3 linked regions of the Oryctolagus cuniculus genome follow. The protein of the gene in region 1 binds, or shares a complex with, the protein of each later gene. Links are inferred from orthologs where the notes say so. Each region holds a gene or a part of one and is shown on either strand. Other genes may lie near its edges. The genes, in order: DDX5, ARVCF and PA2G4.

Region 1 (9,907 bases):
CAAAAGTTGTTTTTATGCACTGTGTCTCGTCTAGGCAAGCGCTTCCAAGAAGCCAGGATTCACTTGAGAATGTGTCTCTCTCTGGCAGGTCTCGACATGACGACTACTGTGTCACAAGGTGAGGGAGGAACTTTCAAAGCACTGTTTTCTTTTCCCACTGATTCTAAGTGTGAGAAGTTGCTCCTGCTCTAGGTCTTATGTGCCAGTACTCACCAATTTGTAAAAGGCTTAGTACCTTTTAAAGCTGCTCTCTCCATTTCAAACTTGAACAAAAATTTCATTGAACATTGAAGTTTGGAACTATTTCTTCGACATTTCAGCAAACTCACTGAAACTCAAAGACCCACAGATCACAGTGAACAGTTTCAAACAATGCTGTACCATGGCAGTCATGCAAAGCATGGGACGGAAGAAACCACGGCAGTGAACTGTGAGGGTACTTCCATTGTTTTCCCCCGGAGAGAACAGTTTATGGGGCAGAGGTGATATGTTCTGCCCTTTGAAGATTACTGGCACACTTTCAGTTTTTCACCTCTCTAATCGACTGGAAGCAGCCAGCCGATCACTAGTCCTCCATCCCCCTCGAGTCCTCCGATTGTCATGCCTAGGCCTTGCCACAAAGACTGCACCTTTATGTGAAAAAAACTTAGAAAAAATGCAGAGGTTAAAGAAAGCAATAAACTTTCTTTAGAAAAACTATATGGAGATCTTCTGGGAAACCAAGCCATGAATGCGAGTTTGTACTAACCTAGCCCTCTGGAGGCCACATCTGTAGCAATCAGAATAGGAGCTTTTCCATGTTTGAATTCTACAAAGGAAGGCAAATATACGATCATTACTCTGAAGCCTATCTTAAGAAAAAAAATTTTCTCCTTTTGAAATACTTACCATTTAGAACCCAGTCACGCTCCTGTTGACTCTTGTCACCATGGATACCCATGGCAGGCCACCTAAAATAGAAGATTTATCCTAGTAGGCTCATGCTTCAAATCAGATTCTCATGCTTAACCATTTTTGCCAAGCCTCAATTTCACTGACAGCTTTACCCAAACTATCAGATTAGCCTTATCTATGAAACCCACAACCATCCTCTTGGCTCAAGTTTGTTTGCCCTTTCCTAAAGGACTATACATGGAGAATCCCACATACCCATCTCTCCTCATTTTTCTGGTAAGCTCATCACATCTTCTTTTGGTTTCAACAAAAACAATGGTTTTATTTTCCTTCTCACTCATGATCTCTTCCATTAGACGAATAAGTCTAGACAAAACAAACGCCTGAGTCTTAAAACAAGTCCACAGTTGGGGCTGCACATTTACATTCAGTGAAACATTAAGTTCAATTTTGCATGGCTCCAAGTCAAAGAGGAAACACCTGTAGGACCATCTGACAATCCTACCCTGGGTCCTTAAGTAAACCACAAGACACATGACTTTCATCTTCCTGTAAGAATGCCATAAATGGAACAACCAATTACAGAAGGACATGAAATCTCAAGATGGATTGGCGGACTTAATTTTACATGAACCTATTCAGATTACATCAATTGAAAGTCAATTTTGACATAACCCATGAAAGCTACTCAACCACACAAAGCCATTAAATGTATATAATACTTACTTTTCATCCTTTTCTACATCATGACATACATCCACTATCTGAAGAATGTTGTGGTTTGCACTCAATTCCAGTGCTCCAATGTTTATATGAATGTAGTCTTTCAGAAAATCTTCAGCAAGCTGTCTTACTTCTTTTGGCCATGTAGCACTCCACATTAGGGTTTGCCTATCAGGCTAAGACAGAGAAAGGATTACACTGTACTCCAAAAGTAAATTTAGACTTGTGAAAAGTGACATTAAGGGTACTTACTCTTATCTGATCCACAATCTTCCTTATTTGGGGTTCAAAGCCCATATCAAGCATTCTATCTGCTTCATCAAGGACCAGGTAAGTTGTTCTTCTCAGATTGGTTTTTCCACACTCTAAAAAGTCAATCAGTCTTCCAGGTGTTGCAATACAGATTTCCACACCTTCAAATTAAATGCATAAACGTTAACACATAACATTTAGCACTGGTTAGTTGACAAACCACCTTTTCCTTTCCTACCTCTCTCCAAGTCGCGGATCTGTGGTCCCTTGGGAGCACCACCATAGATGCAAGTAGACTTCAAGCGACAAGCTCTACAGTATTCAGCAGCTACTTGCTGCACTTGCTGAGCCAGTTCCCGAGTTGGTGCCAGCACCAAGCACTAAAGCAAGAGGAACAGCTTTTAGCACAGACCCCAGATTGCTAAGTTAGCTGCACTGGCAGATCCTTTCTCCAACTGTGCCATCAGATACCCAGAGCAGCCCCAGCTACGTTCAGTGAGAATACTAATCTTTACATAAATCGTTACATCGTTTGCTATGTATTCTGTTATGTTTCTAGTTGAAAAAATATATACTTACAATAGGTCCATCACCTCTCTCTAAGAATGGCTGATGATTGATGTGGACGATGGCAGGCAGCAAATACTACAGGAGGACAAACAGCAGAGACACTATTAAGATACTCTGGCTTTTTTATTCCCATTCCATTTCCTCTAGCATGGATCACCCAGCAACTCAGAGTTCTCCCAAACTTACAGACAATGTTTTCCCAGATCCGGTCTGAGCTACTCCAACCATATCTAATCCACTTAGAGCAACTGGCCATCCCTGAGCTTGAATAGCAGTGGGTTCAGTAAAGTTCTGCCTTGCAATCACGTCCATGACGTTTGCTGTAATTACAGCATTTTAGTAAACACTTGTAATGCCAACAGAAAGGAGGCAACAGGGGGAGAAGGGTGGTAAGCTGACTGAAAACCAGCACTTACCAGGAAAGTTTGCTTCATAGAAATTCAGAACTGGCTTTGGGCAATTGTGACCTCTAACTGTAACTTCCTTGCTTCTTCTGTATGTCTCCACCTCTTGCTGCAAAACAAATCATAACCACTTTAGTAACTCTTGACAGAGTCCCCTAAGCAAACACAGCTAGCAAACTCTGAACCTACAGGTGAAAATTCAAAGCCACCTCCTCCCCAAGCCAAAAAGAACTCCCCAAATTGAAATGTCCGCCAAGACACTTGTTAGATTTTGATTTCCTAGCTTAGTATTACTCAGGTAATACTGAATGATGATCAAAGCCACATGAAATTACTCACGGCTGTGCGTCTAGCCAAATCAGGATGTTCTTGATAAAAATTCTTCTCAAATTTGGGCAGCTCATCAAGATTCCACTTCTTTTTAACTAGTTTCTCTCCAGGGTTTCCAAATTTCTTTCCAGATAGAGGCCCTGCCCTACTTCCTCCAAATCGAGGCGCACCAAACCTGAAATTAAGAATGTTACATTTCTTCACGTCTGTATTTGGCGTTGGACAGATTTTAGCACTCATCAGCTCCAGTAATTATCCCTGAGAGCAGTCAACAGCATCACTTCCCACAGCCGCAACTATCGAGGCCAAGTACACGGCCCGCGATCGATAAGCTCAGAAACGGGCTGACCAAACTGCAGGATTTCAAGCATACAAGGACAGACAAGTCTGCGGCTACTACAGTCTCCGAGCTAGGGAATGCAGCAGCCGGGAGCCGGCCTATACGAGAAGGGTGGTGCCTAAAACAGCGATGCTACTCTAACGACTGTGTTCGAGCAGAGGCGCTTCCGTGTTAAACACGAACGGTAACGAGGCAGCCACAGCAGGGAGAGCGGCACAGGGAAGGTGTTTCTCCAAGGCACGCCGGGAAACCAATCGAGGTGGGGGAACCCGGCGGAAGAGCTCCCGATCAAGGTAGCAAAATTATATAACGCGAGAAGGAGAAGGAGGAGCCGGTGACTACCGGGGGAGGAGTCCGGGCCCGGGCGGAGTCGCCGGGCGGCGTTCCCGCTGGGGCGGCGCTTCCCCCTTTGTCTCGCATTTCTCTCTGCGCCACATTTTCTCGACGCTGCCATTTTGAGCTCCTCCGCCGGGCGGGGTAACAAAGGCGCCGCCGCCATGTCCGAGGCCGGCATTTTGTGCTCGCGGCTCAGCCACATGGCCGATCCCGAGGGCGCCGGCCGGCCGGCCGCTGCCTCCGCACCGAACCCACGGCTTCGGAGCGGCCCCTCTCCCACAGAACTCCCGGCGCCCCGAAAACACCTCCCCGAAGGCCGTACCTAACGGCGGCTCCCCGCTCCGCCCCGAAGCGCCGCGCTCTCCTCACCCCGCAGGGCGTTCCGCCAAATCCCCCAACAGCCGCCAAATGGCCGCTCCCCACCCCCAGACAAAAAGCGGGCTTCGGAACAGCCAAAACGACAAGCCTCTTCGGGTCACTTCGAAGCGAACGCCAAAATGGCGCAAACCTCCGACCGAGGCCCGAGAGGAGCCCGCGAAGGCCGCGTCGCCGCCCGCCGCCGCCCTCCCATCCCCCCTCTCCGGGCCTGACGGGTCCGCTCCCCGACTCACCCTCGATCGCGACCGCGATCCCGGTCGCTCGAGTATCCCGACATGGCGTCAATGGTTGCGGTTGGCGGGGGACGAAGCTAAGAGAAACGGGTGCGACGAGTCGCTGCAAGAGGCTTCGACGGCGGCGAAGCCTCGCGGGGGCGGCAGCGGCGGAGGAACGGCGGTGACGAGAGCCGGAGCTGCACGACCAGAGGCCGGTGGAAATGAATGAGGTGCCGGCCGCGTCCCGGCAGCCGGTTTTATAGTGCGGACCGCCTCCTCCGCCGCGGAGGCTGCTGGGAGCCGATCTGTGACCTCATCGCCCCGCCCCCCGCGCAGGGGGCCGCAACGCCCACCGGCGTTCTGGAATCCGCCCTGGGGTCCCCGCCGCCCCCGCGGCCGCTCCCTCCCGGGGCGCCCGTTTTTCTCCCGAGTCGTGTCCGGGCCCGCCCACCACAGGGATGCTTCAGCATGCATTTCCTTGACTTCACCTTTTTCTCGTCCTTCTACACCTCCAGCAAGCCTCCCCGCCTTCTCCCTGGACCGACAGGCACATAAAATGGCCAGGACAGGCCAGCCCACTCTCTCCACTCAGAGATGTTTACGTCTCCACAGAGCCCTCACACCCATAACCAAATAAGACGGGAAGGCGGAACCTGGCCTCGTCACGTGACAAGCCCCGCCCCCGGTCTGGGGAGGGGTCGGCACTACTTTCCCCCGCGGGAGTCGGCGGAGGAATACCTAACAAAGTAGTTCCCCGGAAGTCCAGTTCTGCCCCCTCCAGGAGACCGGCCGGGACAGCCGGGTGACCTAAACTGCCCGAGAATCCACCGACCCGAGAATCCTTCAGCAGTCTCCTGCCCGTGGAGAACGGTAGCTGCTGTCCGCAAACCGCCGCCGAGGCGCGTGCTGCGACAGGAAGTGGTCCTCCGAGGGCCAATCAGCGGCGAGAAGCCGTTGTAATGTCCCTCCCTCTTCGACCTGAGCCTCCTGCCTGGCGCCTCGGTTCCTACCGGCCCCGCCCACCTCCGGGTCTCGCCGTGCGACCCTTCCCGGACACCGTCGCCCGCGCGTCGGAGGCGCCTCGGACTGCGGCGCCGCCCTTCCTCCGCGACATGGCCGACTCGGGGGCTGGTGAGTCTCGGCCTGGAGGTCCGGTGTGTGTGGACCGAAGCCCCCCAAGTGCCCGAAGGCGTCGGGCCGGTCTCACCGGGGTGTCGGGGGCCGGCGAGGCTTGTGACTGTCAAGACGCCCCGTCGCCGTTGGGGTTGTCCGGGGTAGGGTCTGTCAGCCCCGCCGCCGGCTCGCTCGCGGCCGCGGAGCCGCGCCGTCGGGGCGGGGAGAGACGGACTGTGGCAGCAGTCGTCTTGCCCTGGGCGCCGAGCCCGCAGGCCGTTTGTGTCGGCCTTTGGAGGAATAGCACTTTCAGCCGCTGTGCCCTTGCTAGCTAGGGTTGGACCAGGGCTGCTCTCTTCTCTTCGGTGCCCTCTGGCGTCGCCGGCTTTGTCGGCCACGGTTTTTTGAGACACGAAATGGATTTCGTGGTCTGGGACGCTACAACGTTTTCTCCAGCGTCTACACAAACAAGTTGCCATGGCTTGGACGGTTGTGAGAGAGGGGCGTGGCGGTACGCCGAGGGTACACACCCCAAGTGCCCCCCTCTGTTTCCAGAACTGAGCAAAATGCTCTCCCATTAACCGCCAGTCATTTCAGGGAACGAGTGATTCAGACTTGGTAAACGACTTTTGGTCGAGCAGCTTTCCTGATCGCAGCAGTATTTGGCGGAGGGGAGCGTGGTAGCGTGCTAGTTCGCAGTGTAGGGGTGTTTCCATGTCTGCCCCGTGCGTTCCTGCGGGTACATTAGATGGAATAAAGGAAAGCTGTTCTTAACAGGCTGAGTTAATCACCACCTGTTTGGGCGCCGGCGAAATCCCGACAGGCGCAAGGTGATTTGGTAAAAACATGATGATTACTACTGGGAATTAGAAGCGGCTCTCATTAGTTTCTAGTGACTTCAGATGCTCATTACCTAGCTGTCTTGTTTATGACAGATGCTCTCCTTAACTTTCAATTAAAAACACCTATAAAAGGCTTAGAAACAGGTAAATGGCTTAAGGTTTTAGATTGCAACAGTGAAAATTGCATGTGCTTCATACTTTTTGACTGTATTGAACTGATAGCATTCTGGAAGTCATCCCCAGAAATTTAATACATCGTTTAAAAATCCTGCCTGGAAGGATCTTTGAAATTCTTCAACAACCAAATTCCTTTTATTCTATTCTGCACAGTCAGGTATCTTGGCGGGAGGTTGTTGGTTTTTCAAGTGTGCGTATAGCCTTTTCTAGTGCTGTTGAAAACAGATCTTTCTCCCCTTCTTTCCCAACAGAGTGGATAACCATTGCCAATAACCTTCTTTTTAAATGTCACATACATCTAAGGATACATGAGCTTGAAGATTGTGATGCTAATGTTTTTATTGCTCTTTATCAATCTATTCTGGGAGAAAAGGTACCAGGTAAGGGTCCTAAAAAGCATGAGTACGTATATCAGGCCAGAAATTTCTAGTGCCTTTAGTTATATCCTTTGGTATTTAATATGTTTCCTTTTTTCTGTCCACATCATTTCTATCAAAAGATTACATTCATTACCTTAGTGAATAGCATATGGGCGCCCATAACAACAACCTTGACAATCAGTTCAGTGATTCTTGCTAATCATGGTTTACTCACATCTAATGTCTTGTGAAAGTTACACTAAGTGTGCCTTCAAAGGGTCTGCAGTTGAGTAAAAGGAAATTTGCTGGGTCTGGTCCCCTCACCTGTATTAAGGATAAGAGTTGGTGTTTATGAGTCTGATTTCCTGAGAAGACGGTTAATAACTGTGGATGTCTAACCGTCTGTGTGCTGTGACTCGCTTTTTTCTTTCAGAGGTGTCACACGTTTTGCTGTATCACTTGTTGGATATCTCAGAGTCCTCATGCATAGATTCCTTTGCTGCCTGTGTTTCCTTACATAGTTTATAACCATTAGCTCCTGTAGGAGTTGTGTAGCTTCTCTTCTTTTTCCTTTGTTAGCATGAGGCAGTGCCCTCATCACTTCCTAGAATAAAGGAGTGGCCTCTCACTGCTCTTTGAGCTAGCTTCCCCCTTTTAGGGTTCATGTTCCTCAATACCAGAGGAGAAACCAAAGACTTGACTTGATAGTAAATCTTGGCACACTGTATGCCAGTCATTTATGCCAGTAATTCCCACTAGACCGGTTTAACAGTACGTACACGAGCTCTCATTGAATACTGCTGTGGTCTCTTTCTAATGGGAAGCAGTCCACACTATTGGGCTAAGGTCTTGTCTCATGTCTTGCCTCCCTTAGTAGAATATTAGCATCTCTCTGAATTTAGGAACCAATTTATCTTCCTTTGTAGAGTATACTCATGTATATGTTTGATGTAATAAATATTGAACCATATTCTAGTTAACAATTATTCAATATTAGGATGTAAATCAGTAAATACTAACCAGTAAAGATTCAACTTTGTCATGTCTGGACTCTGTTAACTTTATCACACACTGTGTTTGGGCAGAACTTTTAACAGTTGAGCTAACTCAAAAGCCTAGTCAGAGATAAATGAAAACTTGAACCCTTACAAATGCAGAATTATGTGACTCCTCCCACAGACCTCATAGCTGTTCCCAGGAGTCCAGAGGATGATGCCCACAATGTACAGGCTGTGATTGATTCTCTGGCCTTGGATTACCTGCAGGTCAGCTTGTCTCACATAACAGGTTGGTATATACTTAAGCAGATAATTGTGCATTTTAGTAAATTGATTTGTTAGATAAAACCTTCAACATTGCTTAATTAATTAAATGAATGAGCTTATGGAATAGGCCAAACTTAAAACTGAGCCAAGAGAATCAAATGGTATAGTTAAGGCAAGCACACATGAGAACGTTTCCTGGAGGGGAAAACATTGAGTTTGTGATGGATCTGGGTATGAAATATAAGTACCCTAGATGCTAACTTAAGGTATGTGTTTTGTTATAGTTTTGATTTTAAAACATATCAGTGCTGCTTATTTGCAGTAGCTAGAAGTTAAAGCAGTTGATATCTGTTAATAAGGACTGATTAAATTATAATAGATCCACATAGTGGAGTACTCGGCAATTATAAAATGCTTTTTATGGACAACATTTCATTTTAGAGGAATGATCTCTGATGTAAATAGTATGAGAAAAATTTGGTGCGATTACAGTGATAATGTGCAGAATATGCTAATCTTTTAATACAAAGGAACTGATGGCTGTTGCAAAGACTATAGAATATACAAGAAATTGTAATACCCATCATCTCCAGCAGGAGAACTTCTGGGCTGTTAGACAAAAGGACAGGAATTTTCGCTGTATACCTTTTCTGCTTTTTGAATTTTGGACCACATTTATCCAAAAAAATTGTCTTGATGCAAACCATTTTTGAAAGTTTCCCCAAATAAAGTGTACCACGCTGTATTCTAAAACTAAGTATACCAGATTTATTTATAAATATTTGTATTTGCAGATAGTGAGATGAGAATTAGTCCAGTAAATTATTTCAAACCAATAAATAGAGGAAATCTGGTGAACTTGAAACTATACCACAGTCACAAAAATAAGGTTCATACTGTTGATTTACTCCTTGACAGTTGAAGAAAATAAATGTTCATCAGGACAGGTCATTTACATCTTATTTTGATATTCCAAAGAGAAAATAATTCTGTCTTAGGCTTTTGAGAGTATGTCTAGGGGAGTAAATGTAGTAAACCAGTTTGGAGAATTAAATTTGTGGCATAATCCTGTAGTCTTCGTGTTCTTTTGCAGTTTGAAATTGCGTCAGCACCCGAGTAGGGCATTTCTGGTATTTGTGTTTTGTAAACATGCTATAGCCAGGATAAACATCTGTGTGTGTAGAACTTTTTCATGCAGAGCTGCCCCTGACAAATCATACTCAGGCCCACAAAAAATTATAAACTGCTTACCTTCTCCAGCAGACTACAAAACAGCTTCTAGTCCTGTGTGCCTTTGAGGCAGCGTGTCCTGCTCCAAGAAGCGCTGTGTTCTGGCCGGGAGTCGTGGCTGCTGGGGTGGCAGAGTGTGCTCCCCATCCTGGAAACTGAGAAGTCTTGAGTATGCCCTTGGGATGTACTGATGTACCATAAGCCAGGAAAACAGGGCTTGAAGACAAGATTTCTGGCTAGTTGTCTTAGGCAGAAAAGAGTTTTCAAGCATTGTCTTTGGTAGTAGCCTAAAGCGTCAGATTGATGGTTTAGGTTTGTTGGGCATTGCAGCTGATTCTCTTAAATATCATGTTTCTGCTCTACTGTGCTGGTGTGAACTCCTGAGTGCCAGGCACTATGTCCCAAAGGACAGCCAGTGGTTAAGTTCCAGCGACACCTGATAGCAGTCGTATCCATCTTAGGCAACCTTAAACATGTCA
Region 2 (9,251 bases), on another chromosome or scaffold:
ATAACACTGCCCACACCCAACCCCCACCCCGTCCTAGGAGCAGAGCCCAGGCAGCCAGGCCTCGCTGGCCACGATGCCAGAGGCGCCTGAGGTGCTGGAGGAGACGGTGACGGTGGAGGAAGACCCGGGCACGCCCACCTCCCACGTGTCCATTGTGACTGCTGAAGACGGTACAACCCGGCGCACGGAGACCAAGGTGGAGCTGGGAGGGCGGGCGACCGGAGTGGGGCAGGGGGAGAAACTTAGGCCACTCCAGCCTCACCCGGTCACCCGCCCGTCCACCAGGTCACCAAGACGGTCAAGACCGTGACCACGCGGACAGTACGACAAGTGCCCGTGGGCCCGGATGGGCTGCCCCTGCTAGATGGCGGCCCCCCGCTTGGCCCTTTTGCCGACAGCCCCCTGGACCGGCACTTCCTTCTGCGGGGCGGTGGCCCGGCGGCCACGCTGTCCCGGGCCTACCTCAGCAGCGGGGGCGGCTTCCCTGATGGTCCCGAGCCCCGGGATGGCCCCAACTACGGCAGCCTGTCGCGAGGGCTGGGGGTGCGGCCCCCACGTGCCGGCCCCCTCGGTCCCGGCCCTGGCGATGGCTGCTTTACCCTGCCTGGCCGCCGCGAGGCATTCCCATCCGGCCCCGAGCCCGGGCCCCACGGGGGCCGCTCCCTGCCCGAGCGCTTCCAGGCAGAGCCCTACGGCTTAGAGGATGACACCCGCAGCCTGGCCAACGATGACGAGGGCGGCCCCGAGCTGGAGCCCGACTACGGCACAGCCACACGGAGGAGGCCCGAGTGTGGGCGGGGCCTGCGTACCAGGTGAGCACCCTGTCCCCCCATGGCCACTGCCTCCAGGAAGTCACCCATCCATGCTCCCTGCACGGGCAGCCAAGCCGCTAGGGCTGAGTCCATCGTGCACACTTGGATGTGGGCTGAAGGGGACAGTGGCAGTTAGGCTGCCCAGCACCTGCTGGCTCCTCTCCAGGCAGATGGCGGCAAGGACCCGAGCACTGGAGGCCCAGCCAGCTCCTCTCCCTGGGCCTGTTTCCTTCCCCCATGCACAGCACTAACTGGAACCCAGAGCCCACCCCAGGCTTTCTTGCCCTATCTGGTCTCAGTGTGTGCACCTGCAGAATGGGAACACCACAGCCTAGGGGCAGGTGCTGCTGTGTGACCCGGAGCGAGTCGCCTGACCCCTCCCAGCCTCAGGCCACAACCCACCCTGCCACTGAGAGCCAGGGACAGTTCCCTCCCCAAGGGGCCAGCCGGTGGCCTCAGTGCCCCCCACAGATGATCCTACTGAGATGGCCTCGTATGGGGAGGGTCACTCACTCCCCCCACACCCTGACACCAGCCAGAGGTGGGCCTCCTGCAGAGCTGGGGGAATGTGACAGAGAGAAGGGGTCGGGAGACGCTGTGGGAGTGCATGAGTGTCCTGTTCTGGGATTGATTGATTTCTTTGAAAGGCAGAATTACATAGAGAGGAGGGCAGAGAGGGAGAGAGATTGGTCTTCCATCTGCTGGCCTACCCCCGAAGTGGCCACAATGGCTGGAGCTGGGCCCACAGGAAGCCAGGGGCCAGGAGCTTCCCCCAGGTCTCCCACTGGGCCATTCTCTGCTGCCTTCCCAGGCCATAGCAGAGAGCTGGATCCGAAGTAGAGCAGCCGGGCCTGGAACTGGCACCCATGTGGGATGCCGGCACTGCAGGCAGCTTTACCTGCTAGGCCACAGCGCTGACTCCCCTCTGGATGGGTTTTTGCTGGGCTGCGGGCGTGTTTCTCAGCACCAACTCCCTACTACTGGGAGCTGGGGTGTGGGGGAGGGGTTTTGCCGAGGCCCCGCCCCTCACGATGCTCACACGCCCCCTCGCCGGCGCAGGGCCTGCGAGGACCTGGCCGATGACGGAGGTGAGCTGCTGGAGGAGCGGCCCCCATTCCCGGCGACGGCGCCCCTGGCCCAGCCTGAGCGGGGCAGCCTGGGCAGCCTGGACCGGGCGGTGCGGCGCTCGCCCTCGGTGGACAGCGCCCGCAAGGAGCCGCGCTGGCGGGACCCAGAGCTGCCCGAGGTGCTGGCCATGCTGCGGCACCCCGTGGACCCCGTGAAAGCCAACGCGGCCGCCTACCTGCAGCACCTGTGCTTCGAGAACGAGGGCGTCAAGCGGCGCGTGCGGCAGCTGCGGGGGCTGCCGCTGCTCGTGGCGCTGCTGGACCACCCCCGCGCCGAGGTGCGGCGCCGGGCCTGCGGGGCCCTGCGCAACCTCTCCTATGGCCGCGACACGGACAACAAGGCCGCCATCCGGGACTGCGGCGGGGTGCCTGCCCTGGTGCGGCTGCTGCGGGCCGCCCGGGACAGCGAGGTCCGGGAGCTTGTCACCGGTGAGTGGCGCCCGGCTGCACCTGCGGGAGAGAGGAGAGCCAGAGGCTCGGGCTGGGGAGGCGTGGGGCTGCTTGGGGTCTGCGGCTGGGGAGAGCTGCCCAGTGGCCAGAGCCCCGGCTGCTGGGACAGCTTTGTGCTGGAGCAGGCATCAGGTGTAGATGCGAGGACAGATCCCCAGTCTCCCTACCCACAGTCGGGCTAGCGCTGGGCCCCTCAGGCAGGGGCTGGGGACAGCTGGGGGGTCATGTGACCACCTCTGTGTGGCTCCAGGGTCTCAAGACCCTTAGTTCCCCTGCCCAGGGGGCAGGGAAGGGATGGGAGGAGTCACCTGCTGGCCCCTCGGCTGCACTGGAAGTCCCTCACCCCCACTGGAAGCCCCTGCTGGGGACAGCCCTCCCTGCCTCGCCCCCGCCCAACCTCTCACGGTTCTTGTCACTCCTTGCCTTCCCATGCATGGACATGAGGAGGGCAGGCAGGTCCTGAGCGGGGGTCCCAGGAAAGGCAGCGGGTGGGCAGGGCCTGCGGTCAACACGGTGGGTGTCGGTGGCACCCACAGGCACCCTCTGGAACCTGTCGTCCTACGAGCCCCTGAAAATGGTCATCATTGACCACGGCCTGCAGACACTCACACACGAGGTCATCGTGCCCCACTCGGGCTGGGAGCGGGAGCCCAACGAGGACTCCAAACCCCGGGACGCCGAGTGGACGACCGTCTTCAAGAATACCTCGGGCTGCTTGAGGTGGGGGCAGGGCCGGCTGGGGCTGCCCCTCTCCCTCACCTCCCCCTGCAGCACAGCTGGGCTCCCGGTCAGGGAGGTGGGATCTAGGCACCAGAGCCTGCACCCCCGCAGCCTGCAGGCAGCCACATCCTGGTGGTCCCCAGAGCGTGGATGACAGTCAGCCACCCAGTAGCCAGGGGCTGCAGAGTCACACCACGAAGTCCAACCTGCAGAGGAAGATGGATGAGCCCCCCGGCCTGAGTCCAGGGCTGGGGCTGGCAGGGTTCTCCCTGGAGGAGGCCGGGGCTCACCGGGCCTGTTCTCGGCCCTCCAGGAATGTGAGCTCGGACGGCGCCGAGGCCCGGCGGAGGCTCCGGGAGTGTGAAGGGCTGGTGGACGCACTCCTGCACGCTCTGCAGTCGGCAGTGGGCAGGAAGGACACAGACAACAAGGTGGGTAGGGCAGGACGGGCACAGGCCGATAGCCTCCCGCCCCCAATCGTCAGAGAACCAGACCGTTCAGGAGCTGGGAGGCCCGGCGTCCTGGGGCTGTCCAGGGCGTGCCTGACTGGGGCACCCCAAACACGGCCCCACGGAAGTGGTCATGGGCCCCCCCCCCCCGTGCTTTCTCGCCCAGCTGACTCTGTGCGCAGGTGCCCAGGACCCTGAACAGCCCCGAGGCCCCGCCCTCCCACTCACCTCTGCCCCCCCCCCCCACAGTCGGTGGAGAACTGTGTGTGCATCATGCGGAATCTGTCATACCACGTGCACAAGGAGGTGCCTGGGGCCGACAGATACCAGGAGGCCGAGCCTGGGCCCCCGGGCGGTGCTGCCGGCTTCCAGCGGCGGAGGCGGGACGATGCCAGCTGCTTCGGCGGCAAGAAGGCCAAAGGTGGGTGGGCAAGTCGGGGGTCCTGCTCTTGGCACCGGCGCTCCCGGCTGAAGGCCCTCCGTGCCCAGGGCAGGCAGCTAGGAGGCTGGAGGACGGCGGGATAGATGGGCGGGAGCCCGGAGGGTCCCGCTCTGCCCGGGCTCCACCCCCGGAGGAGACTGACCCCAGGCTTGCCCCTGCCAGTCCCTGGGGGCACTCAGCCCTCCCTCCTCCCCCACGCCCAGCCATCCATTAGGGTGAGGTTCTGCAGTGGGAACACAGGGGGCCGCTGGGAGGGTGCCCCGCTCAGGCTCGTCTCCTCTTTCCTGTGCTTCCTGCCGGCGCCCAGAGGACTGGTTCCATCAAGGTGAGTGAACGCCTGTTTGTCCGGCAGTCCCGCCGTGGGCAAGACGCCCCGTGGCGCCCACTGTCGTTTCCTTGACAACCGCAGGGCAGCGGGTGCAGTGGGCTCCCGGGAAGCCGCGCCAATCCCCAGGGCCCTGCCCCGCCCCTCCCGCTCCAGGCCCATCACCCTGGCAGCCATCTCCATGACAACTGCCCAGGACACACAAAGGCAGGAATGCGGACCCCCTCCACCCAGGGGGCTGGGAGGCCGAGGGGGCCGCTCCGGCAACCTCAGACTCAGCTCCCTTAGGCAGGGCTGGGGCAGAGCCGGGTGGGGCAGGCAGGGCCCCTGGTCCTTGTCATGGATCGGGCTGTGTGTGTGTGTGTGTGTGTGTGTGTGTGTCCAGCTCCCACAAGCTGAGGCGGCTTACCTAAGCTCACTGCCTTGAGAGGCGGAAGCTCCCCCTTCGGAGATGGGGAGGGTGGCTGGAGGCAGAGAGGTGTGCACGCGGCTGCTGCTGTGAGGGGTTCCGCCCCCAAGCTGGGGTGGTTTTCCTGGGACAGGACCCTCGGCCCACCAAGTCCTGAGCCTGGCAAGCTTCCGTTTCTCTGTCTGTACCTACGGCCATCCAGCCTGGGCTGCTGGTTCCTTCACACACCCAGCAGCTCCCAGCCCTTGATGCTGGGGTGGGGCCGGGGTGTCCCCAGACCACCTGCCTGTGGGCCTCAGAACGACTTCAAGTGGTGCCAGGGCCTGGGTGTGGGGTGCTCTTTGGGCTCTGGGCAGGGGGCCCTCGTGGCATGTTTCTGTTCCCCCATGGGGGGTCCACCTCACCTCCCACCCTTGTGTTCTAGGGAAGAAGGATGGTGAGATGGACCAGAACTTCGACACGCTGGACCTGCCCAAGAGAACCGAGGCCGCCAAAGGTGAGCTGGCCAGTGTCGCTGGAGGGGTCCCAGCTCAGGGGGCCTGGGGGGCCTGGGGGGCCTTGGGAATCAGGTGGGAAATGGGGACTGCAAGTGTATGGTTCCCTGGGGGGTGATCTGGTCCCTGGGCTGCTGTTCGGAGTCAGGGTCAATGCCGTAGGTCACTGGATTCAGGATGCGTGGGGGAGATAAGACAAAGAGGCCATGAGAGGCGGGGCTGGAGGGGGTGTTTCCTGGGCACTGGGAGCCAGGAGGGCGTGGTCAGATCAGGTACAGAGACCGACCAGGGGCGGGGCGGTGCATCCCTGCGTCCCCCGTATCCGTTGGGTTCCTCCTGCTCTGTGCAGTCCAATGGGAACCCATCTGCCTGAACGAGTGGACCCAGGCCACCTTGTGAAGTGGAAGAGCCCAGAGGCCACCCCCCCAGTGGGTGGAAGTGGCCAAGCCTTCCAGCCGTGGGGGGGCGGGGAGGGGGGTGGTCTGTGGGGATGCATTACAGTCAGAGGGAGGAGGTTGCTTTCCGAGCCAGGCAAATATCCATGTGTGGACAGGAAGGCTTGGAAGGCCGCCCTGGCCCCTCAGCTCTGGAGCACTGTGTGGGGCACCACCTTGGTGCCAGCCTGGGGCCTCACTTGTGGGGGAACCTGGGGCAGCCCTGGTTGCACCGCAACATTGCCACGGGGAATGGGTGGGCCCTGTTGCTGGGAGCGTGACCCTGTGCTCAGCTTCAATTACATACCGGCGGAGGTGGGGCTCGGTTGCTCCGCGCCAATTACACACTGGCAGAGGCGGGCCCTGTTGCTAGGGGCGTGGCCGGACTGCTCAGCTTCAGTCACATTCCCGGCAGAGGCGGGCCCTGTTGCTAGGGCTGAGTCCCTGGTTGCAGTTTTCAGTTCCACAGGAAGGAAAGCCTTCCTTCTGTTGTCAGGGAAGGCGGGTCCTGTTGCTAGGGGCGCGGCCATAGTTACCGAGCCCTGCCTCCTGGGTTGAGGAAGACATGACCTCACCAGAACCCATTGTCCCCTGAGCCTCAGTTTGCCCCTCTGTGCAGTGGGAGCGCTTCCTCCTTGGGGATGATTCCCCTGATAATAAACATTCTCGGTTCCACGCCCCTCCGCGGCCCTGGTGAGGGAGGAGACTGGGTGACAGTGGGCGGTGGGTGCCCCGTGCTGTGCCCAGGCTTTGAGCTGCTGTACCAGCCGGAGGTGGTGCGTCTCTACCTCTCCCTGCTCACGGAGAGCCGGAACTTCAACACCCTGGAGGCTGCCGCCGGGGCCCTGCAGAACCTCAGCGCTGGCAACTGGATGGTGAGAGGGCAGGCGGGACTCGGGGGCCCTGGGCCGTGGGGAGGCGGGGAGAGCGCACCAGCGCACTAATCGGCCCCCCACCCCCGGACCGCCGCAGTGGGCCACGTACATCCGCGCCACGGTGCGCAAGGAGCGTGGGCTGCCGGTGCTGGTAGAGCTGCTGCAGTCTGAGACCGACAAGGTGGTGCGCGCTGTGGCCATCGCGCTGCGCAACCTCTCGCTGGACCGGCGCAACAAGGACCTCATAGGTGAGGAACCCGCAGGCCTCCTCGGGGTCGGACTCGGAGCCCTGGTCCCGGTCCTGTCGCCTGGGGGTCCCACAGCGGTGCGGCTGTGGTGTCCTGGGGCTCCGTGCCCCTCATGTGCAGGGGCGGGGGGCAGAGGAGCGGCCTAACACCTGTCCCTGCCCCTCTCAGGGAGCTACGCCATGGTGGAGCTGGTGCGGAACGTGCGCAACGCGCAGGCACCCACGCGCCCGGGGGCCCGGCTGGAGGAGGACACGGTGGTGGCCGTGCTCAACACCATCCACGAGATCGTGTCGGACAGCCTGGACAACGCGCGCTCGCTCCTGCAGGCCCGCGGCGTGCCCGCGCTCGTGGCCCTCTGCGCCTCCAGGTGGGTGGGGCGGGGCCGCGGGGCGGGGCCCGAGCGCGCGGGGGGTGTGGCCACTGACCCCGCCCCTCCCCCCCCCCCCGCCCGCGCGCCACAGCCAGTCCGTGCGCGAAGCGAAGGCGGCGTCACACGTGCTGCAGACCGTGTGGAGCTACAAGGAGCTGCGCGGCGCCCTGCAGAGGGACGGCTGGACCAAGGCGCGCTTCCAGGTGGGGAGTGCCCTGGCCAGCCCCTCTCTTGACTCTGCCGGTTCGGCCCCCCACCCAAAGCGGGCAGTGCGGCCAGCTCACCCCATGCCTGTGCCCCGTGCCTCTGCAGTCGGCGGCCACGGCCAGCAAGGTGCCTAAGGGATCCCAGAGCCCCGGTGGCTTCGATGACAGCACGCTGCCGCTGGTGGACAAGAGCCTGGGTGCGTGTGGGAGCCCGTCCCTGACCTGCACTGACACTGACAAGGTGGCGAGGGGCTGGAGGAGAGACCCGGGCTTCCTCCGGACAGGATGGGGGATGGCGGACCCTTTGCCGGCTCTCTGCTTCCTGGGTGCTTCTTGTCACGTGGTGCCTGCACAGGTGCCAGTGGCCGCGGGTTGGGGTGGGGGTGGGTGCTGGTGGCCAGAGGCCAGGCTGGGGCGCAGAGATGGTTGGTAGCAGAGGGTGCCCAGGCTGTCCAGGCCAGCCCTGCCGCGGGCTAGGCTGCCCCGGCCCCACCTGCAGCCAGCTGCCTGCTTATGCCTTGCAGACAGCGAGAAGCAGGGCAGCCGGGACGTGATCCCCATGGACACTCTCGGCCCAGGTGAGTGCAGGTGCAGTGTGGCTGGGGGGGGGGGGGTGCTGGAAGGCCTCCCAGGAGGTGCTGGCTGGATGAGAGAGCTTTGGGACAGAGGGCCAGGGAAGGCTCAGTTCCCAGCCAGGGCCCAGACCTGTAGCCAAGGGGCTGCACCTGCTGGGTTTAGGGGCTGCACCTGCTGGGTTTAGGGGCTGCTGGGAGCGCAGACACCAGCACAGGGTGACCCCCCCTTCAGGGTGGGCAGATGCCGGCCTTCTGAGCTGAGAGGGAGCTGTGCTAGAGTGTCCCTCCTGAAGCTGCTCCTCCTGTCCCCACCCCAGACGGCTACTCCACTGTGGACCGCCGGGAGCGCAGGGCGCGGGGCAGTGACTCCGCAGGGGAGGCCTCTGAGAAGGAACCGTTGAAAGTGAGTGGCTGTGGGCCGCCCCGTCCCGTAGGGGTTGCCCACAGAGCACCTGGGCAGCACTAAGTCTGGGCCCCGCCCCCTCCCCACCCCCACCCCGGGCCACAGCTTGGGCGGGCAGGCAGCCCCCTCAGGTCGGAATCAGCGTGCAGACACCATTGGGAGCCCATCGCTGCTGGGAGTGGGGGGCGGCAGGGCCAGAGGCCGCCTGCCCGTCTGTACCCTTGCCTGCATGTGCACAAGTGCGGGGCGAGGGCCCACCACCCGCCCCCTGCCAGTTCCCGCAGGCCCGCCAGCCAGCTCATCTCCTGCCCTTGGCATCACTCCCTCCCCCGCCCCGTGCTGCCTTGGCCAGCCCACCCCGCAGCCCCCACTAACCGGCTCTGTTCTGCTTCTGCCGCCCACCTGCCCCCTTACCCACCGTGCGCTGCGCAGCCCGACCCCGGCAGGAAGGCCCCGCCCCCCGGGCCCCCCAGGCCCGCGGTCAGGCTGGTGGACGCCGTGGGGGACGCTAAGCCTCAGCCAGTTGATTCCTGGGTCTAGCTTGCATGCCTGGTACGTCTCTCCACATTCCCGGCTGTGCCCTCCCCTCCGGGCCGGGCTTCTGGTAACCTCTGCTGGCTGCATGCTCTGCTCTCCCTGTGTGCCCACGGCAGGTGTGCAGCGGCCCTGATACCTGTGGGGGAGTGGGGAGGCCAAGCCCAGGGCCCGGAGGGAGAGTCCTTGGGGGATGGGACGGAGCAGGGAGGGAGGGTCCCCCCAAACCTGCCAGCACCATCTGCTGGCTGTGATCGACCCTGACACAGGACCCCTGGGGCCAGCCCACACTACCCATGACTGGGGCGTGGGCCCCCTTGTGCGCTCGCCGCCTGTGCGCAGGGCTGCAGCGCCCGCTTCCCACTCTCGCTCCGCAGG
Region 3 (9,986 bases), on another chromosome or scaffold:
AATTTAAATTTAGAGAATTGTGTCCACTGACGATCTAAAGTGTATAATTCTGTTAGTCTATGAGAACCTTAGGACTTCTGGGCTTCCTAATTGTCATGCAGAGTCAGCGCTAACTCTGGACCAGCCCACTGGTATCGTCATCTCATTCCTATCTTTTTTTTTTTTAAGATTTATTCTTTTTTTTTACTTGATTTTTTTTTTTTTTGGACAGGCAGAGTGGACAGTGAGAGAGAGAGACAGAAAGAAAGGTCTTCCTTTGCAGTTGGTTCACCCTCCAATGGCCGCCGCGGCTGGCGCACCGCGCTGAGCCAAAGGCAGGAGCCAGGTACTTATCCTGGTCTCCCATGGGGTGCAAGGCCCAAGCACTTGGGACATCCTCCACTGCATTCCCTGGCCACAGCAGAGAGCTGGCCTGGAAGAGGGGCAACCGGGACAGAATCCGGCGCCCCGACCAGGACTAGAACCCAGTGTGCCGGCACCACAAGGTGGAGGATTAGCCAAGTGAGCCGCGACACCGGCCCCATTTTTTTTTTTTTTTTACTTGAAAGGCAATGTTACAGAGCAGGGAGAAAGAGGCAGAGACGGCAAGCTTCTATCTGCTGGTTCACTCCCCAAATGGCTGAGATGGCTAGAGCCAGGCCAATCTGAAGCCAGGAGCCAGGAGCTTCTTCCAGGTCTCCCACATGGGTGCAGGGGCCCAGGACTTGGGCCATCTTCCACTGCTTTCCTAGGCACATTAGCAGGGAGCTGGATTGGAAGTGGAGCAGCCAGGTCTCAAATGGAGCAGATATGGGACGCTGGTGCTGTAGGCAGAGGCTTAACCCACTATACCACAGCACCAGCACCCTATCCTTTTTCTGACTTTTGTTTTATAAAGGCTTTAAAACTGAGTTTGTAAGGTACTTAGCTCAAGTTATTTTGGGGACAGATGCACATACAAAACATGAAAAGAGGGGCAAGCATTTGGTTTAATAGTTAAGATGCTGCATGAGACACCCGCATCTCATTTCAGAGAGCTTGGATTCAAGTCCTGACTCCCTTCCTACTAATGTGCACCCTGGGAGGCAAGGCAGCAGGTGCTGGCTCAGGTCTCAGGGTCCTTATCACCCAAGACTGAATTCCCAGCTTCCAATTTTGGCCTGGCCCAGCCCCAGCTATTGCAGGCACGTGGGGAGTAACCAGTGAACAGTGTTTGTGTGCCTTTCAAATGAATAAGGTAAATACCATGAACAAAGAAAAGAAGGATCTCTACGTGCAGTTAAGGAAGAAACCATCACTCTGTGCACCTAGCACAGATCTGTCTGCTGTTGAGTGTCAAGCGCTTAGTTCCTGCCTCTTCTCTACAAGAATTCCCATCCTAAGACACAGCTTATTTTAAAAGGCTAGTTTTTAAATAGGGGGTGTGGGGGAAGTTGGCAGTTCTGTCCAGAGTGGCTACAGGTACCTAACGCATCTCGGGTTCTCTCTTTAGGGCTGGATAAAACAGCTTACCTGATTTCCAGGTTTGACCAGGCGCAGGGCAGCCTCAGCACAAAGGTGAGCTGCCTTAATGACATCTGCTTTCCGCCCTGTCACTTGGGTCCCCTGTGGATAAGGAAACCCATTCAGAGAAGCTGGCTAACTCAGCCCACCATGTGGGTAATATTTGTGCACCCAAGCCAATGAACATTAAAGAAAAAGTGTTTCTCTAGAGAATTCTGTAGACTCTCCCCAAACATGGTGGTAGGGGATAGGGCTGAGGCAACTGCAGTGCACACATACTCTCGCCCCCTGCAAACGAACCCCAGCTGGAACAGAGTTCAAAAGTAGGCCACCTACCTGAGCTACACCGACCACGAAAGTGTGAGCCACATTCGCGATAAAGCCATCCACATGGACCCCAAGGTCACTGAAAGGCAAGGGCAGAGTACCACATTAGGAATGGCATAGTGCAAGTACTTGGGAAAGAGAAACGCTCTAAAATGGCTTAGCCTTACATTTTTACCAAGTCACCTTCCTTGAGAATATAGTCCTGGTCACTCTTCAAAGGCGAGAAGTGACACACACAGTTATTTACTGAAATGCTGGTAGGAAAGGCAATACCTGTAAAGACAGAATCGTTAGCCTTACTGCCTTGCTCTCTCTCTTGCTGCCCTTCAGAAAAAGGAAAAACTTTCTCAGGGACTTTAACCACGTTGGATTGGGTAGGGCACTGCTTGTATCCCACTTGCCATTTCAGATCTCCAAATATCCCACCCAGGGCTGGGTGGGGTTTGCATCATTATAATGGGAAAAAAAAAAAAGAACCAGATAAGGGCCAAGCTTGGAAAACTAGTGAGAGGTGTTTTGTTGTTGTTGTTGTTTTTTTTTTTTTTTTTTTTTTTACCTTTTTTCATCTCCTTTTCTTTTTTGAAGATCTTCCCTGTCTCTTCCATGATCATGGCATCACCCTTCTCACACAGGCTCAGCACGGACACACCTGAGCTGGATGCTTCCACCAAAGACCGAAGTACCCCTGGGGACAGAATCCCACCACATCAGCCTGGCACGTATTTACTGTCTGCTGACCACCCTGGTATGTAAGCTGGACTCGGAACTTCTAATTCCCAGCGCTAGCCCCCTGAGGCTGAGAGAGGAAACCTGAGTCTTGCTTCTTGGAATGTATCTACCTATAACCTCTAATTTCTACCCTCCTTTCCTAAAATAAAAAAGGCCAACCCCTCCTTGTCTCCCTTACATTATGTGACAACTGGCTACACACAACATCTTCTTAGACAAACTTGACTGTCCAAAGGCACCTTGGGCCTGGCAGAACACAGTTATGAGCTGCAGAGGGTTCATGCCGAGGTGCCCCACATACATGCAAAGTAGACTACAAGACATTTATGGGCGTCAGGGACACAGAATTGCTGACTCGAAGCTGATGCATTGGGAAATTGTTACCTTCCTGTCTTCTCACACATCACTAATTAGGTGTTGGTAATCGCAATTTATTTAAATTTATTCCCTCATAAACATATGTAGGAACTAAGGGGGCTATTCAGAAGTCTCTGGGCTTCAGGGGGCTCGTGGCTTTCAGCCTGCCGTAGATCTAAAGGGATTAGTGACCCTGAGATTTCAAAACTGATATCTGAGATCACAAATGACTCAAATTATAAACTGCAAGAAAGAAGAAGAAACATTTCTTTTAGTTCAAATCACTAGTATCGAAAACTAAAGTACACCCAGGTCAAGGCACTACACTACACGTCCACTGAGCCACTTTTGAGAAAGCATTGTTCTGTTCACACCCTCTCCGTGATCCATCCAGAATTTCAGGTTTGATTTTTGAGGTCTCAGTTTTGGATTAACTGGAAGTTAGAACAACCCAGGTCTTCGGCTTCAGAGCCAAAGGCACCCTAAAAACCTCTTCCTATCTTTACTATTAAGACCATATAGAAGCTCAGACGAGTAGCTTCCAACTCTCTCAGTGGGTTTTAAAATGGAAAGGTGAACTGGAAAGAGAGAAAATAGAAAGTGAGACATCTGCCTAGAGTGGCAAACAACTGCTGAGAAGTCGGAGCAGGGCTCGAATGATGACCGGTGACAATCCTGAAGCCGGTCCCGCGGCCACACCGCTCACCAGCCCGCCTAGCTGGGGCCAAGGGCAACCTCAAAACCCTCCTCCGAACTCCAGCAAGTCCCCGGAAACCAATCCGAGGGCTGAGGCTTTCTGCACAGATTGGAAAGGTGGTAGTAACCAACAACTTCGAGAACACACAGACGAAGTCCCCAAGAGTTGCGTTAGAAGGTCCAGGGGTGCCCTCCAACGGCCCCCTGAGCCGGCCCAGGGTGAAAGGGGGCCCTCGCCAGGGCGAGCGACGAAGTAAAGGAGGAAGACTCCAGCAAAGCACGTGGTGGGGAGGCTGGTGTCAGGGACCGCGGCGGCGGCAGGAGGGACCCGGCAACACGTGCCAGCCCTGCTCCTGACGCTCAGGAGCCGCAACAAAACAGAAGGGCGCCTCTGTCGCCAACAGCTGGGCGCTTCCTCTTCGAGGCGACCGCCGAGACCCGGACGGAGGAGTGCGGGCACCGAAGAAAACGCGCCTTGCCTCCTTTACCAACGGCCTAGGCTCGAAGTCTGCCCGGGTCCCTCTCTCTGCCCTCTCCCCGGTCGCCGGCCCGCACCCACAGACTCCAGTCCAGGCCTGGCCACTCCGGTCCCGGGCGCGACACTGGGTCTTCCCACCACGCCGACTCCAGCGGACCGATACGGACCCCACCGGAGCTCACTCCGCAGCACCCTACCGCGCCAGCCCCTCAGCGGTCTGCCCAGCACCTCTCCCTCCCAGACTCGATTCCGGACCCCCCGAGGCCGCACTCACGGTTGGCGATGTCGCCCCCCATCTTATACTTGGTCACGACCAGGTCCTCGGCGATAGTTTGCTCCTGCTGCTCGTCCTCGCCCGACATCTTCCCACCACCACCACTGCAGCCTCGTTTCCCCTGAGCCGCCGCCTCTGTCGCCCTCCCCAGCCGCAGGCTGTGGTCAGAGCCCCCACGATCCGCGAGGAGAGCGCGAGCGAAAGCGCGAGCAAGCAAGGCAGCGGGCGGGCGGGCGAGCGAGAGCGAGAAGCTGCGAGCGCGCGGGCTGAGGCGCAGGGTACGCCGGGACGACGAGTCCTTTCCGCCGCCACCCTCTAGCCGTCCTCGTGGTCGCTTGAACTACAATTCCCAGCCTGCCTCTCGCGCCCCTAAGCCAGGCCCTGGAGCCTTGCCCTCCAAGGGCCTCGCACGCCGGAATCGCCGGGCACGCTGGGAAGGGTCAGGCTCCGGCGGGAAGGCGGAGCTGTTGGCTAGCTGGAGGGGAAGCGTGGTCTCTCCGGGAAAAAGTCCATCCACCAGGAGTGCTGAGCCCGAGCTCGTAATAGAGAAGGGGGGCGGGCTGAGGGATTAGGGGCGGGGCTTCGAAGGGGAAAAGGGTTTGGCTGCGGCGGGGCGGCGTGGAGCAGGGTGGAGCCGAGGTCGGTGTGCTGTGTGTGCACCTAGGGCGGGGGTGCTGGGTACGCCGGCTGGGGATCCCTGGGTCGGCTGGCGGGACCGGCCCGGCCGGTCCAATCGGCTCCCAGTGCTGAGGGAAGGAGCAGAGCGGACGTGGAAGACCGAGGAAGCGTGTTGGGAACTGGGTCTAACTAGGCAGCGGGAGATCATCCACTCACGCCCTCCCGACCTAGAGGCACTGTTCTTCCAGCCGTGGCCTTGAATGGGGCCCCCACCTAAGGAAGTGCTCGCAGAGAGTTGGTGGCTCTCTTAAGAGAATGAGTTTTGAAGCAATTTAAAGCTTTCAATTTTCGCATCCATAGGGCATTTTCTAACTTCTCCAAGCATTTGTGGGATTTTTTTTTTTTTTAATCCTACTTGCCCTGTAATTTCTAGTACAACCCCTGAATGAAAAGGACTCTGCCCTATGCCTGGAGAAAGCTGAATGGGACGAACAGGGCTGTCGGGAGACAGAAAGGTGGCTGTCCACTGTTGCACTCAAAGAGGTGGCCTCTTAATCAGTTTCCTTCATTTGACAAACAGAAAGCTGAAAAAAACTTTGGCATTTTTATTCAGACATGTATAAAAACAACAAAACACTTCAATGATATAACAGACATTTGCCCCAGTTCCCCTCCCAAGGGGATGGAGGTCTAAAGCAGGGTCCTGTCTCTCCCACCTGGAAGCGTCTCACCACTGGAGGAGAACAGCTCCTACAGGTGGGCCTGGGGACCTTTGTGAGTCTGCCCTTAGGAGTGATCACGAGAGTTACGGTTTATGCAAAAACATCCAGTTATTTTTCCTTCCTACCCCCTCACCCCCACCACTTCCTGAGATGAGAAGTCTGGGTGTAGAGGAGGGTTAAACTTGATTCAGTGCAAAGAAAAAAAAAACACACACACACACAAGTAAAATGCACCTTACAAGGGCTCTCTGACTTATCTGTTTTCCATGACAGCTTACAGTAAGAACACGTGCATTCTGTTGGGAAGATTTTGAAACCTGGACCTGTTGCTTAATTTACCCAGTCTTTAAGGCTCAGTCCCCCTGATCTGCTGTCTTTCCACAGCTTGTTACCTGTGGTTAACTGCAGTCCAAAACAATTACATGGAAAATCAACAATTGATAAGTCTGAGTAGCATGATGAAATCTTAGCACCATCCTGCTCTTCCTCTGTCCAGTGTAGTCGTCCCTCACTGCCCTTAGTCCCTCGGTAGCACTCTCGCTTATCAGATCTCCTGTTGTGGTATCCAAAAGTGGCTGTGTTCTAGGAACCCTTACTTGTTTAATGGTGATGCAGGCAATTCACATCGACCAAAGAGAAGTGCTTCCGTTAAGTGAAAAGGTGAACGTCTTCGTAAGTAAAGGAGCCAAAAGTGTACGCAGAAGTCGCCGGATCTCCAGTGCAGACGATTCCTTTATCCATGGAATTCTGTGCTACTTTTCTTGTTGCACCACGGAATGCACAAGTTATGGCCGTAGTGCATGGAGTTCAGGAGGAAGGGCATTAAGTACAGCATTTGGTGCTATCTGTGGTTTCACTGGGTGTCTTGGAACATTATCCCCTGAGGATGGGGGAGGGGGGACTACTTAGGTGTAAAACAGGGTCATCTCTCTGTCACACAATTGTAAGGAGTATAAAGGATTAAGGGAGATAATGTAGGTAAAGTTTCGCTTGCTGCCTGGCCCGCAGTGAAGAGCCGAGAGTAATAGTCTGTTCCTAACTGCTCTTTACAGAACTTTAAGCTCTGCAACCTTTGCAGGGGGTTAAAAGTACCCAGTTTTTGCTTTCTTCTGCCAGATCTGCCCCTGTGTTCTTAGGACACTCTGAAACAGGCACATATCCGGGCCTCATACTAACAGGTGGGGCCTGAGCTACAGGGATGTGGGGAGTAATCCTTCATGTCTCCAGGGAGTCCTGGGAAAGCACACAAAGTAGGAAAACCTTCTCCTTCCTGGGGCTGGGAAGGAGAACAAAGTGCACAGTTGGCTACAAACCATAAGAAGTTTGTGTCAAAGGGATTCAAAGCCTCCAAAGGTTGAATGGAATTGTCTAGGACTAGAGAAATGGGGCTGACACCTGTGGAGGGGGGAGTAGGGAGATGAGGGGTACCCTCTAGAGGCACTAGCTGCCATCAGACGCTCCCCGAGTGTCTCAAGGAGTCGAGGCTATGTTCTCTGGGCGTTAGCCTTGGGGAAAAGCCTGCTATGCCAGTAATCAGGGTTGTCAAAGGCGGAGTCGGTGGCTTCTAAACTGCGGAGGGTTTTGAGGCGGGCGTAGCGGACACTAGGGGCATGCGGACCAGGCCCCTGGAAAGCTCGCATCTCTTCATACCCTTGCTCAGCTGCTGGGCAGGCCCCCATGGCTGTGTAATCCCCTCCCGGGCCACCTGCACCGCGTCGCCGATTCATATACTCATAGTCCTCATCTGGTGTCGTGCCAGCAGTGGATATGACGGGCACAGGGTTGAGAGGACAACTCTGCGTGCTGCCCAGGGAGGCACTGAGGTCTGACCCCACGTCCATGTACTCATAGCCCAGCTCCTCAAGGGAGCCGGGCCGAGGGGGATGAGATGGGCTGGGCCTTCTCCGACGGTTCATGTATTCATACTCCTCATCTTCATCTTCCTCTTCAGTACCCAGGACAGAGCTGAGACCCACTGAGGAAAGAGTACCTTCTCGGGAAGAAGGAGTACCTAGGAGAAGAGCAGAGAGGATAAGTAGGTGGAGAACTTCATGGTAATGGGCAGTAGGTAGGGGAAGGGAAGGGAAAGTTAGAAAAAATTAATAGGAAGGGATAGGATCAGAGAAGACGAGAATTCAGAGAAAGCTGCAGGAGGAGTCAGGCACCTTTGAGGTGTGTATCTGGCATGACATAACCGTTGACATCCTCTTCTTCCAATCCTGGCGGGGCAAGAGGGGTGACGGGCGTAAGCAGGCTATGGCGCTGGGAATGGTAGGCACTATCTCCCCTTGGCCGTGGGCTGCGGCTGCGGCTGCGGCTCCTGCACACCGACACCTTCTCCGGGAGCTCAGCCTCAGAGCCTGTCACGTGACCTTCTGACGATTCGGAGGTCAGGCGGCCCCGTGGCACTGGGTGCAGAGAGACCGGACGAGGGCATCGTTCACTGCCCCCACAAACTGCAGACTCCTACGAAGGAAGGTAAAGAGAGGATAACAGATTTAGAGACAGGAAAGGCTTTATTTAGAAGATTGGGTTGGGGGCCGGTGCTGTGACACAGCAGGTTAAAGCCCTGGCCTGCAGTGCCAGCATCCCTTATGGTGCCAGTTCAAGTCCTGGCTGCTCCACTTCCGATCCAGCTCCCTACTGATGAACCTGGGAAAGCAGTGCAAGATGGCCCAAATGCTTGGACCCCTGCACCCACATGGGAGACCCGGATGAAGCTCCTGGCTCCTGGCTTTGCATCAGCTCAGCTCAGCTCCAGCCATTGCAGCCATTTGGGGAGTGAACCAGTCAGTGTATGGAAGACCCCTCTCTCTATTGCTCTCTCACTCTACCTTTCTCTGTAACTCTTTCAAATAAAAATAAGGCTTAAAAAAAGAAGAAGATTGGGTTGTTTGTTGCCTGCCTTTTCAGTTTCTCATGCTTCCTGCACTACCCCTCAGCCACCTCGTGTCAGCAGCAGAGCTCACCTGGCAGGCCTCTCCAAGAACACTCTGGTTCATGGGCATGTATCCAGATGATGGACTTAACAGGCTCTGGCTCTGGGAGGAAAGAAGTAAGAAAAAGGTTCAGATGAAGGAAGAAATCCTACTCTTACCATGGGGGCCGTGAGTAGTTGGTCTGGGGGTTTGTGCGGGCCTGGTGTGGAGTCTTGGGTAGTTACAGTGTCTTACCCCCCGTGGTCGAGTAAGAGTTCCAACTGGTAGGCTGAGAGCAGAGCCCAGTGTGGTTGCCAGGGTGTCCTCTTCTGCCTCCAAGTCTAGGTCTAGGTCAAGTTCTGGCTCCAGCTCTACTTCCTCCAGTTCCTTGTTTGTCAGAGCAGAGGGCTCTGCCCCAGGAGGTACTCCAGGCCCACTCTCCCTCTGTAGGAGCAGGTAACTGTTAAGGTGGATCCGGGTTCCAGCCAATTCTTTTCTCCACATCCTTGCAATCTAGTCCCTACTCACCTTTATGACTAGATACCGTGGTGGATCTCGGGCCATCCTGGTGAACTCATTGGCTAGTTCTTTAAAGGTTGGGCGAATGTTCTCATCAATCATCCAACCTAGGATAAGACACAGGAGGTAAAAAACCGTCAGTGTGCATGGAGCCGTAAGAGGAGATGGGAGGGAGAACAGTTAACAAATAGCTGGGATTTTCAGCCTTTTGGCTAAGATCAACTGTGAAAAAATGGCTTGGGGTGGGGGTGGGGGTGGGCAGTGCTATGGCATAGTGGGTAAAGCCACCTCCTGCAATTCTGGTGTCCCATATGAGCACCAGTTCCTATTCAGCTCTCGGCTATGGCCTGGGAAAGCAGTGGAAGATGGCCCAAGTCCTTGGGCCCTTGTACCCGCGTGGGAGACCCAGAAGAAATTCCTGGCTCCTAGCTTCAGATCAACGCAGCTCCGGCCTTTGGGGCCAATTGGGGGAGTGAACCAGCAGATAGAAGATCGATCTCTCTCTTAAAAAAAAAAAAAAAGGCTGGGGGAGGGGGGGATGTCGGGCCAGCAATTTAGCCTCTTCCTTGGGTCATCCACATCCTATATCTGAGTGCTGGTTTAAGTCCCAACTACTAGGCTTCCTATCCAGCTCCCTGCTAAAGCACCAGGAAGCAGTGGATGAAGGCTCAAGTACTTGAGTCCCTGCCACCCATGTGGGATACCTGGATGGAGTTCCTGGATACTGTGACAGCCTGGCGCAGCCCTGGCTGTTGCAGTCATTTGAGGAATAAACCAACAGATAGATCTGTCACTCTACCTTTCAGAAAAATAAATAGGGGCCGGTGCTGTGGCGCAGCAGGTTAACACCCTGGCCTGAAGCGCCA

The links.
Region 2: DDX5 (region 1) and ARVCF share a complex: the UniProt entries of both Homo sapiens proteins name them as parts of the ribonucleoprotein complex. The link is inferred for Oryctolagus cuniculus from reciprocal best matches to the Homo sapiens genes DDX5 and ARVCF.
Region 3: DDX5 (region 1) and PA2G4 share a complex: the UniProt entries of both Homo sapiens proteins name them as parts of the ribonucleoprotein complex. The link is inferred for Oryctolagus cuniculus from reciprocal best matches to the Homo sapiens genes DDX5 and PA2G4.

The regions. Positions count from the first base shown.
Region 1 is NC_091448.1:14,222,606-14,232,512, reverse strand, and holds the start of DDX5 (probable ATP-dependent RNA helicase DDX5), read right to left. Parts: upstream 5,333-9,907; 5' UTR 4,931-5,332; intron 4,640-4,930; 5' UTR 4,505-4,639; coding exon 4,461-4,504; intron 3,349-4,460; coding exon 3,183-3,348; intron 2,953-3,182; coding exon 2,856-2,952; intron 2,760-2,855; coding exon 2,626-2,759; intron 2,515-2,625; coding exon 2,449-2,514; intron 2,250-2,448; coding exon 2,108-2,249; intron 2,031-2,107; coding exon 1,870-2,030; intron 1,794-1,869; coding exon 1,621-1,793; intron 1,261-1,620; coding exon 1,150-1,260; intron 951-1,149; coding exon 889-950; intron 809-888; coding exon 749-808; intron 1-748. Other genes in the region: CEP95 (centrosomal protein of 95 kDa), read left to right, coding at 5,402-5,573, 6,826-6,954, 8,113-8,220. UniProt on the Homo sapiens protein: Involved in the alternative regulation of pre-mRNA splicing; its RNA helicase activity is necessary for increasing tau exon 10 inclusion and occurs in a RBM4-dependent manner. Binds to the tau pre-mRNA in the stem-loop region downstream of exon 10.
Region 2 is NC_091452.1:27,663,846-27,673,096, reverse strand, and holds part of ARVCF (splicing regulator ARVCF), read left to right. Parts: intron 1-37; coding exon 38-196; intron 197-285; coding exon 286-812; intron 813-1,871; coding exon 1,872-2,368; intron 2,369-2,925; coding exon 2,926-3,109; intron 3,110-3,422; coding exon 3,423-3,540; intron 3,541-3,807; coding exon 3,808-3,979; intron 3,980-4,307; coding exon 4,308-4,325; intron 4,326-5,158; coding exon 5,159-5,230; intron 5,231-6,409; coding exon 6,410-6,537; intron 6,538-6,634; coding exon 6,635-6,785; intron 6,786-6,953; coding exon 6,954-7,152; intron 7,153-7,246; coding exon 7,247-7,358; intron 7,359-7,467; coding exon 7,468-7,558; intron 7,559-7,885; coding exon 7,886-7,939; intron 7,940-8,253; coding exon 8,254-8,339; intron 8,340-8,771; coding exon 8,772-8,879; 3' UTR 8,880-8,891; intron 8,892-9,250; coding exon of another isoform or gene 9,251-9,251. UniProt on the Homo sapiens protein: Contributes to the regulation of alternative splicing of pre-mRNAs.
Region 3 is NC_091442.1:58,899,449-58,909,434, reverse strand, and holds the start of PA2G4 (proliferation-associated protein 2G4), read right to left. Parts: upstream 4,863-9,986; 5' UTR 4,432-4,862; coding exon 4,344-4,431; intron 2,495-4,343; coding exon 2,366-2,494; intron 2,083-2,365; coding exon 1,977-2,082; intron 1,889-1,976; coding exon 1,819-1,888; intron 1,585-1,818; coding exon 1,492-1,584; intron 1-1,491. Other genes in the region: ERBB3 (receptor tyrosine-protein kinase erbB-3), read right to left, coding at 7,168-7,694, 7,849-8,149, 8,653-8,724, 8,857-9,045, 9,130-9,227. UniProt on the Homo sapiens protein: May play a role in a ERBB3-regulated signal transduction pathway. Seems be involved in growth regulation. Acts a corepressor of the androgen receptor (AR) and is regulated by the ERBB3 ligand neuregulin-1/heregulin (HRG).